Linked DNA regions of Cricetulus griseus. Each later gene encodes a partner of the first gene's protein in a complex. Links are inferred from orthologs where the notes say so. Each region holds a gene or a part of one and is shown in the gene's direction. Other genes may lie near its edges.

Evidence for each region.
Region 2: Ndufab1 (region 1) and Fdx2 share a complex: the UniProt entries of both Homo sapiens proteins name them as parts of the mitochondrial core iron-sulfur cluster (ISC) complex. The link is inferred for Cricetulus griseus from reciprocal best matches to the Homo sapiens genes NDUFAB1 and FDX2.

What each region holds. Positions count from the first base shown.
Region 1 is NC_048596.1:78,579,914-78,583,727, forward strand, and holds the end of Ndufab1 (acyl carrier protein, mitochondrial), read left to right. Parts: intron 1-1,771; coding exon 1,772-1,859; intron 1,860-2,732; coding exon 2,733-2,824; 3' UTR 2,825-2,832; intron 2,833-3,446; 3' UTR 3,447-3,579; downstream 3,580-3,814. UniProt on the Homo sapiens protein: Carrier of the growing fatty acid chain in fatty acid biosynthesis.
Region 2 is NC_048597.1:133,929,732-133,934,221, reverse strand, and holds the start of Fdx2 (ferredoxin-2, mitochondrial), read left to right. Parts: upstream 1-1,669; 5' UTR 1,670-2,735; coding exon 2,736-3,166; intron 3,167-3,261; coding exon 3,262-3,368; intron 3,369-4,490. Other genes in the region: Raver1 (ribonucleoprotein PTB-binding 1), read left to right, coding at 214-357, 713-796, 886-1,032. UniProt on the Homo sapiens protein: Electron donor, of the core iron-sulfur cluster (ISC) assembly complex, that acts to reduce the persulfide into sulfide during [2Fe-2S] clusters assembly on the scaffolding protein ISCU.

The sequences.
Region 1 (3,814 bases):
TAAAAAAAAAAAAAACTCTCCCCAGTCTCCAGCCAATCATTATCCTACTAGATTAGCATTGTCCTTGTATAGATATAGCTTCTTTTGTATCTTTCTGGAGAGAAATAATAGATGTGTCAGGCAGTATAGACACATGTATAACATTCGTATTTGTTGTAGTTACTTTTCTATTGCTGTGATAAAATACGAAGGAAGGATATATTTAAAGTATAGATCCATCATGGCAGAGAGCATGGAAGCAGGCAAGCATGGCACTGGAGAAGTAACTGAGAGCTTACATCTTGAATCACAAACAGAAAGCAGAGAGTACACCAGGAATGGAAGAGGCTTTCAATGCCTCGAAGCCTGCCCCTTGGACTCACCTCCTCCAAAAAGACTGCATGTCCTAATCTTTCCCAACTAGCACCAAATATTAACACACCCAAGACTTATTGGGGACTTATTCAAACCACTACAGTGTTTATGTATATCTCCCTTTCTTCTGAAAGCACAAGTGCTCTGGGAATGTAGTTCAGGGGGAAACACATCTGTCATGCCAGGGCCTCATCACAATCCTCAATACAAGAAAAGCCTGCAAAAAAAAAAACACAGGTGGTCCATATACCAGAACAGCTTCTGCCTCTTTTTGTTTGTTTGTTTGTTGTTTGTTTGTTTTAAAAGATGGAGTCTCACTATGTAGTCCAGGCTGGCCCAAAACTCACACTTTGACTCCTGAATGCGGGGATTATAGAGGTAATATGACATGAGGCTTGCATCTTTCTTTTTTATCTTAACTCTTGGAATTTTTTCATGTTGGTTTATAAACAGTTTTTCTCTTTAGTAATGGAATCTGTTGTGTAGTTTAACATAGTTTATTAAAAAAGGACGTGTGGGTATGTCTCTGTCTGCTTGTATGTGTTCTGAGGACAGAAGAGGTCACTGGATGTCCTCTATCATTCTCCCATCTATTTTGAGACAAGGTATTTCTGAACCTAGAGGTCCTTTCTCATCTAGGCTGGAAACCAGCAAGTCCAGTGATCCTCCTGTGTCTGCCCACTCTGGAGCTGGTACAGGCATGTACTAGACACACAGCTTGTTACATGGGTGCTGGATCTGAAATCTGGTCCTCAGGATTGAATAGGGAATGCTTTTCACTGCTGGGCCATCTCTTCAGGCCCTTAACATGGATTTTTAAAGACTATTTCCTGGTAATCTTGAAGTGAATACAGTATTTTATCATCTGACAGGTACCTATAATTTATAATAATCTTAGGAATTTTGGTTGTTGAATGTATATGTTGCTGGGATGTAACTGCGGGCCTCATGCATAGTAGACAAATGTTCTATAATGAGCTACAACCCTATAATAGCCATTTTTGGGGGGAGGGTTTAAGGGTAGGTGCACATTGTATAGTGTTGACTGTACTATGTAAACCAGGCTGACCTCAAACTCAGCCTACAATTAGGCTTGGGGGAGAAGGGGTTTTATTTATTAATAAAATAGCAAGAAAACAAATTCTCTCAGATATCCTTTAGTGATCAAAGATCCTAATAAAATATGTAGCATGAAATCCTTTATCTAAATTTGTTTCTAAAGTTAACTACCTTAAAATGAAATTGAACAAGCTAACAAAATATACTGTGTCCATGCCAGTATATGTTAAATACACCATGTTATTTAAAGCCTTGATGTTTTTTTGAAAATCTTCTATATGATGATGTAGTTCCACTGTTGTCTTGGGAAACAAACACTTTCATGAATTAAATTTTATTTGGTATTTCTTTCTTGCAGCTCTCAGTAAATTCTCATTTTATGAAGGACCTGGGCTTAGACAGTTTGGACCAAGTGGAGATTATTATGGCCATGGAAGACGAATTTGGTAACATATATACCTTAGCTTTGGATCTGCTTGTTATGAGTCTTCACTGTTTTCAAGAAAAGATCTCAAGCTGGGCGTTAGTGGGGCACACCTTTAATCCCAGCACTCAGGAGGCAGAGACAGGTGGATCTCTGTGAGTTCGAGGCCAGCCTGGTCTAAGAGCGGGTGCCAGGATAGGCTCCAAAGCTACACAGAGAAACCCTGTCTCGAAAAAAACAACAACAAAAAAAGTTCTAGGGCAGTGGTTTTCAACCTTCCCAATGTGATCCTTTAATACATTTCTTCATGTTGTGACCTCCAACCATAAAATTATTTCGTTGCTACTTCATGACTCTAATTTTGCTACTGTTGTTGATCATAGTATAAATATCTGATATGCAAGATGTCTGATGTGACCCCAAAGGGGACCCACAGGTTAAGAACCACTATTCTAGGGGACTTTGATTAACTGGATTAATTCTTGGGGAATTACATAATAGCAATAGTTGTACAACCTTGTAACCATGCTACAAACTACTGAGTTTTGTACTTAAAGGAGAAATTTTCTATTATTTCTAAAAAAAAAAAAAAAAAAAAAAAAAAAAACTTAAGCCCAACATGATATATTTTCTAAAACCTGCCCAGCTTAAAAGCGAAATGGGATTTAAGATTGCTGGAGATGTTTAACACAGCTGTAGGTATTATGAAAGTACCAAATGTAAGTCAAGCCTGGTGGCACAGACTTGTAATCACAGCTACTTGAAATTTCAAGGTCAGCCTGAGTAACTCAGTGAGGCTCTGACCTAAAATTAAAAGGGGGAAGTGGAGTCATATGCTTTCAGTTCTAAAGGGTTTGCTTTTTCCATATTCAGTTACTTTTTTTTTTCATTTTAGGGTTTGAAATTCCTGATATAGATGCAGAGAAGTTAATGTGTCCACAAGAAATTGTAGACTACATTGCAGATAAGAAGGATGTATATGAATAAAGTATCAGGTAAATAATCTGACATAAACTACCTTCTCTCATAGGACTAATCGGTCTGTAGTTCAATACAAGAAGACTCAGAGAACAAAAGTTGGCAGTGTTTGACATAGACTGTTAGAGAACACAGGCCATTTCGGGTTATCTGACATCCAAAGCCCTGACCCTTGCAGTGGTCTTTATCTTCAAGAGAGGCTTGACAGCATCATTCCTGGACAGGGCTCAGCCCTCTTCTTAAAAGCAGTTTTACACAGCCTCACCTGCTCCAAGAAGCAGATATGGCCCAGGGTTACTCCCAAGTAAGAGGTCGGGCTTCAGAGACAAAACTGGCTGTAATGCCCCTTATTGATGGCATGCAGTTAGCCTGGTGGTCTTGAACAAGCTGCTGAGCTATAAATTTGACCCCGTGTAAAGTGGCAATGATGATTGACACTATCAGGGCTTTGTGAAGGTCAGATTGGGTCCTAGATGGGCACTGGCCTGCTATTAAGCCTTAGTTGACAGTCACTATTGTTCTGTTTTAGTGCTTAGAGTATTTAGTTTCAATGCACGGGCACCTTAAAGGTAGCACGTAGAGTCAGTGACTACACACCAAAAAGAAACCCAACTTATCTTGTCATTGCCAGAGCCTTCTTCCTCACCGGGAGGATTCCAAGAACACCTGATGGCATCATGGCTGACTGACAGCGGTTCTGTTGGACTTGTATTTAAATTGTCTGAGTGTTTTACCCTTTAAAAATAAATCTATTATAAAACTAACATCTTTCTCAATCTTCAATTTTCTTTTCTGAGACAATCTCATTCTGGCCTGAACTCATTAGCATAGGCTAACCTCATAACAATCCTCCTGCCTCAGCCTCTTAAATGCTAAAATTATAGGTTTGAACACACTGCTCCATCTAATTTTTAGTTTTTACTGATGTTGTGTAATACTTTTAAAGATGCCATTGATACATACCAAAATATAAGTCTAGGGCACGGTGATGGGCAGCTG
Region 2 (4,490 bases), on another chromosome or scaffold:
GGGGGCAGTGGGTTGTTCCTGGGAGCTCACCAGGGACTCACCCTTGGCCACACACATAGTAGTCAGTGGTCTGTTGAAGTGAAGGTCACTGGGTTCAGGGTAAGCCCCACAGGTCCCCAGAAGAGCAACATGACCAAGCCTAGTTGCATGAGCGTGCGTGCGTGTGTGGTTTCTACCATTATCCTCCTCACTGGGCTGGACTTTTCTCTGCAGATGTCCCCCCCACCTAGCAGCTTCAATGAGCCTCGGAGTGGTGGAGGAAGTGGGGGACCCCTCTCTCATTTTTATTCCGGTTCACCCAACTCTTACTTCACCAGTGGCCTACAGGCTGGCCTCAAGCAGAGCCACCTCAACAAGGTGAGGAGCCTGCCCCACCAAGGACTGGGCCCTGTGTTTCCATGTCTTGTCTCTAAGGGCTTTGTCATCCAAGGTGCCTCAGATACCGCTCCATTGGTGGTGGGGCTCACAGTTTTGCTCATGGTGGAATGGCAATGGGCCACTTGATTCCCTCTTGTGTGTGTGGAGCCTAACACTATGCAGCTTCCCCTCATCTCAAGCTCACCTAAGATGTGGGTGGTCTCATACCCAGAGAATAGAGGAGAAACAGTTCCATCACCACCAGGCCTTGTAGCTCTGGGTGGCAGGCACAAGGCTAGAAGTGGGCTCAAGATTTCCTCCAGGGGTGACACCCCACCACTTTGATTTCCTCTAGGCTGTTGGTTCCTCCCCAATGGGCTCCAGTGAAGGGCTCCTGGGCCTTGGCCCTGGGCCCAATGGTCACAGCCACCTGCTAAAGGTACGGGCAGGGGGAGGGGTGGCACCGGGCTGGGGAGCCCTGGCCCCTAAGAGGCCCCTGACCCTGCCTCCCCTGCCATCTGTCTCCAGACCCCACTGGGCGGCCAGAAGCGCAGTTTTTCCCACCTGCTCCCCTCGCCTGAGCCCAGCCCAGAGGGCAGCTACGTGGGCCAGCACTCCCAGGGCCTCGGCGGCCACTACGCGGACTCCTACCTGAAGCGGAAGAGGATTTTCTAAAGACGTCGGCGCCAGAGATGCTCCAAGGGCCTGCACCGAATTGCTTTTGGGTTTTTCTGGTGTTTGTGTTTTTGTGGGATTTTATTTTTATTATTTTTTTTAATATCCTTTCTTTGGGTAATAGAGAAATCTCTGAAAAAGACTTTGCTGACCAACCAGCCGGAGCTCAAGGAATGTGGGGGTGTCTAGGGGCCACACCTGTGGGCTTGCTCCTGGAGCCAAAACCCTGCAGCCTTAAGAGAGAGGGGCCCGGCCTGCTCTCTTTCCCTCCCCAACTCCTAGCCTCCTGTGCCCAGCTCTCCAGGCCTCCTCGCCTGCCTCGTCACTCCTGTGTTCTGGCCTTTCGAGTGCCTTTGGAGGTGTCCCTGACCTGTGAGGATCAGGGACAGTCCCCTTTTTTAAACTTAGACAATTGACTTTGATTTCCTTTTCTAATTTTTATTTTTTAAAACCAGGATGATGACCACATCCATCCCCACCCCCACCCCAGAAAAGCCCCAACTTTGATTCCTTCAGGGTCTGGCCTACCTGGGCCTCCATTCCACACTTCCGGTTTCCAACAGCTTAGCCCTATTTTCCCAATCATCTGCTGCAGGTATAGCTTTCTCATGCCCCCTTCCTGCCTGCCTACTCTGGCCAGTACCCGATCCCAGATCTCCAGCCCCCTGCCATAGTCTTCTTGCCTTCTGATGCCTTAAAGTTGGGCCACAGGTCCTACCAGGTCAGAGCTGCTCAGATGCCGAGCTCTGGAAGCTTGACTCAGGACCAAAGAGCTCTGACCTAGAGATCATCCTTTCTCCAGGGTGTCTGCCCTGTGGACAGAAGGCCAAAGCCTTGGTCTTGGCAAACCACCCCTTAGCCCAAAGCCTGGGTACAGAAAGCAGTGTTTTCTCTGGCTTCTTCAGTAGTCCCTGCTGCTGTTCATGAAAGCTGACCATTGTACCCAGGTCACTGGGCCTCTAACCATGTCCCTCTGATCCCAGATCACCACCGCCAGCCCTAGGCCAGACCACTGAAGCTGGCCTTCTCTCTGCCCACACAGACAAGCTCTACAGCCTGCCTGCTTGAGGGGACTGGGACTCTTGCCCCTGGCTAGCTGAGCCACCAGCCTCCCTCCCCAAACCTACTCCATGGGGGTGTCCCCTCATCCCTCCCCCAGACCTTTGCTGAATTAAAGTTTGTAAGTAAACGGTTTAAAACAAAACAAAACAAAACAAAAAACAGCTGGCTGTTTCTTGAGACAAACCATGGGCCCAGCAAGATAGCTCAGTATTACAGTAAGAACACATCACCAAGCCTGACAACCTAAGTTTTATCCCTGGGACCCAAATGATACAGAGCTGTCTCCCACAAATTGCCCTCACACGAACACAATCCCTAAAATTGCAGTGGGGCATGGTGGCACTGGCTTTTAATCCCAGCACTTGGGAGGCAGAGGCAGGAGAATCTGAGTTCCAGGCCAGCCTGGTCTGCATAGCAAATTCTACAACATTTCAGACTATATATAGAGAACCTGCCTCAAACCAACAAAAAATTGGGCATGGTGGCATATAACACTTAATTCCAGCAGAGGCAAGTGGCTCTAAGTTGAAGGCTTGCTTGGTCGGTCGTTGTCCTTGCAGAGGACTGGAGTTCGGTTCCTAGCATCCACACAGCCCTCTAACTTCTGGGCTTCGCAGGCACCAGGCACACACTTGGTTCTCATGCATACAAGCAGAACACATACAATAAGACTCAAAGCGTGGGGAGGGTGTGTCCAACCACAGTTCCAGGCCGGAAGTCAAGCTGGATCCTGGTACATCACCTCTGACCTCATACTGCGTTCAAACACTGCGATTACAGTCGCAGCCTACGCACTGAGCATGCTCGGTCTTCCGGTCACGTGGCCTGTCATGGCCGCCTCCATGGCCCGCGGCGTGAGTGCCCGGGTCCTGTTGCGGGCCGCCGGGGGATCTTGGGGTACCTGGGCCGGACACGTGGCAGTGACGTCCAGGACTCTCGGGACGACAGGTACCCAGGCCCGGGTTGGTGTGCGGCTGGCAGCGAGGCCGCATCCGCTCACCCGCTCGTGTTTTCCAGGACAGCGGCGCGCAGGCGAGGACGAGGCAGACGGCCCGGAGCTGCCCCGGGACGCGTGAGTGCCCGCCACGCCACGCCCTGCCCCGCCCCGCCCCGCCACTGCGGCCGGCTAGCCTCGGCTCACAGCGCCTGCACCCTGTCTGTCCCCAGGGTCAACGTGGTCTTCGTGGACCGCTCTGGTCGGCGGATCCCCGTGAGGGGCAGAGTCGGGGACAATGTTCTTCACCTGGCCCAGCGCCACGGGGTGGACCTGGAAGGTAGGTGATACGGAATTGGGGTGATCCTTGCCACTCTTTTATTCCTTTTTGTATTTTTGAGACAGGGTCTCAAATAGCCCAGGCTGTCCTCGAATATCAGAAGGTGGCTTGGAACTTCTGATCCTTCTGCCTTCACCCGCTGGTGTGACAGGTGTGCACCACAATAACACCATACCCAGTGTTTTTGTTGGAGTGGTATGAGTGGATCGGTGATCAAGACTCACGCCTTAACTCGGTCTGTCCAGAAACTTAAGTGTGTAATCCAAGCTAGCCTGCAACCCATTACAGTGATCCTCCTGCCTCCACTTTCTGAGTATTTCGACTAGAAGCATGTGCTACCACACCACCATATTGCGGGTGGGGAGACTGAGATAGACTCCATGTAACTCAGGCTGTTCTGAAACTAGCCGTGTAACCAGGCTAGGCTCAAACCCACTGTAGTGATCCTCCTGCCTCAGCTTTCTCAGTTCTGGGGTCACAGGCTGTCTCTACTGTTTAGCCACATCTTACTTTGAGCTAGTAGGATGTCACTTACAAAAGACTGCCAACCTGAGTTCAATTCCCTGAGACCACATAAATGTAGGAGAGAAGCTGACACCACCTCCGTGCTGAGGCAGGCACACACACGTTGTGTACACAGTAATAATACTTCTTCTTTTTTTTTTTTTTTTTTTGGTTTTTCGAGACAGGGTTTCTCTGTGGCTTTGGAGGCTGTCCTGGAACTAGCTCTTGTAGACCAGGCTGGTCTCAAACTCACAGAGATCCGCCTGCCTCTGCCTCCTGAGTGCTGGGATTAAAGGCGTGTGCTATCAACGCCTGGCTAATAATACATTTTTAAAAAGATTTTTATTTATTATGTATACGACATTCTGCTTCCATGTATATCTGCACACCAGAAGAGACACCAGATCTCATTATAGATGGTGGTGAGCCACCATGTGGTTGCTGGGAATTGAACTCGGGACCTCTGGAAGAGTGGCCAATGATCTTAACCTTTGAGCCATCTCTCCAGCCCCCGGTAATAATACATTTTAAAGTGGAGAGAATAATAGAACTGGAAAGTTTGCTCAGTGCTGAAGAGTACATATGGCTGTTGCAGACCTCTGTTCTGTTCCTCCCACC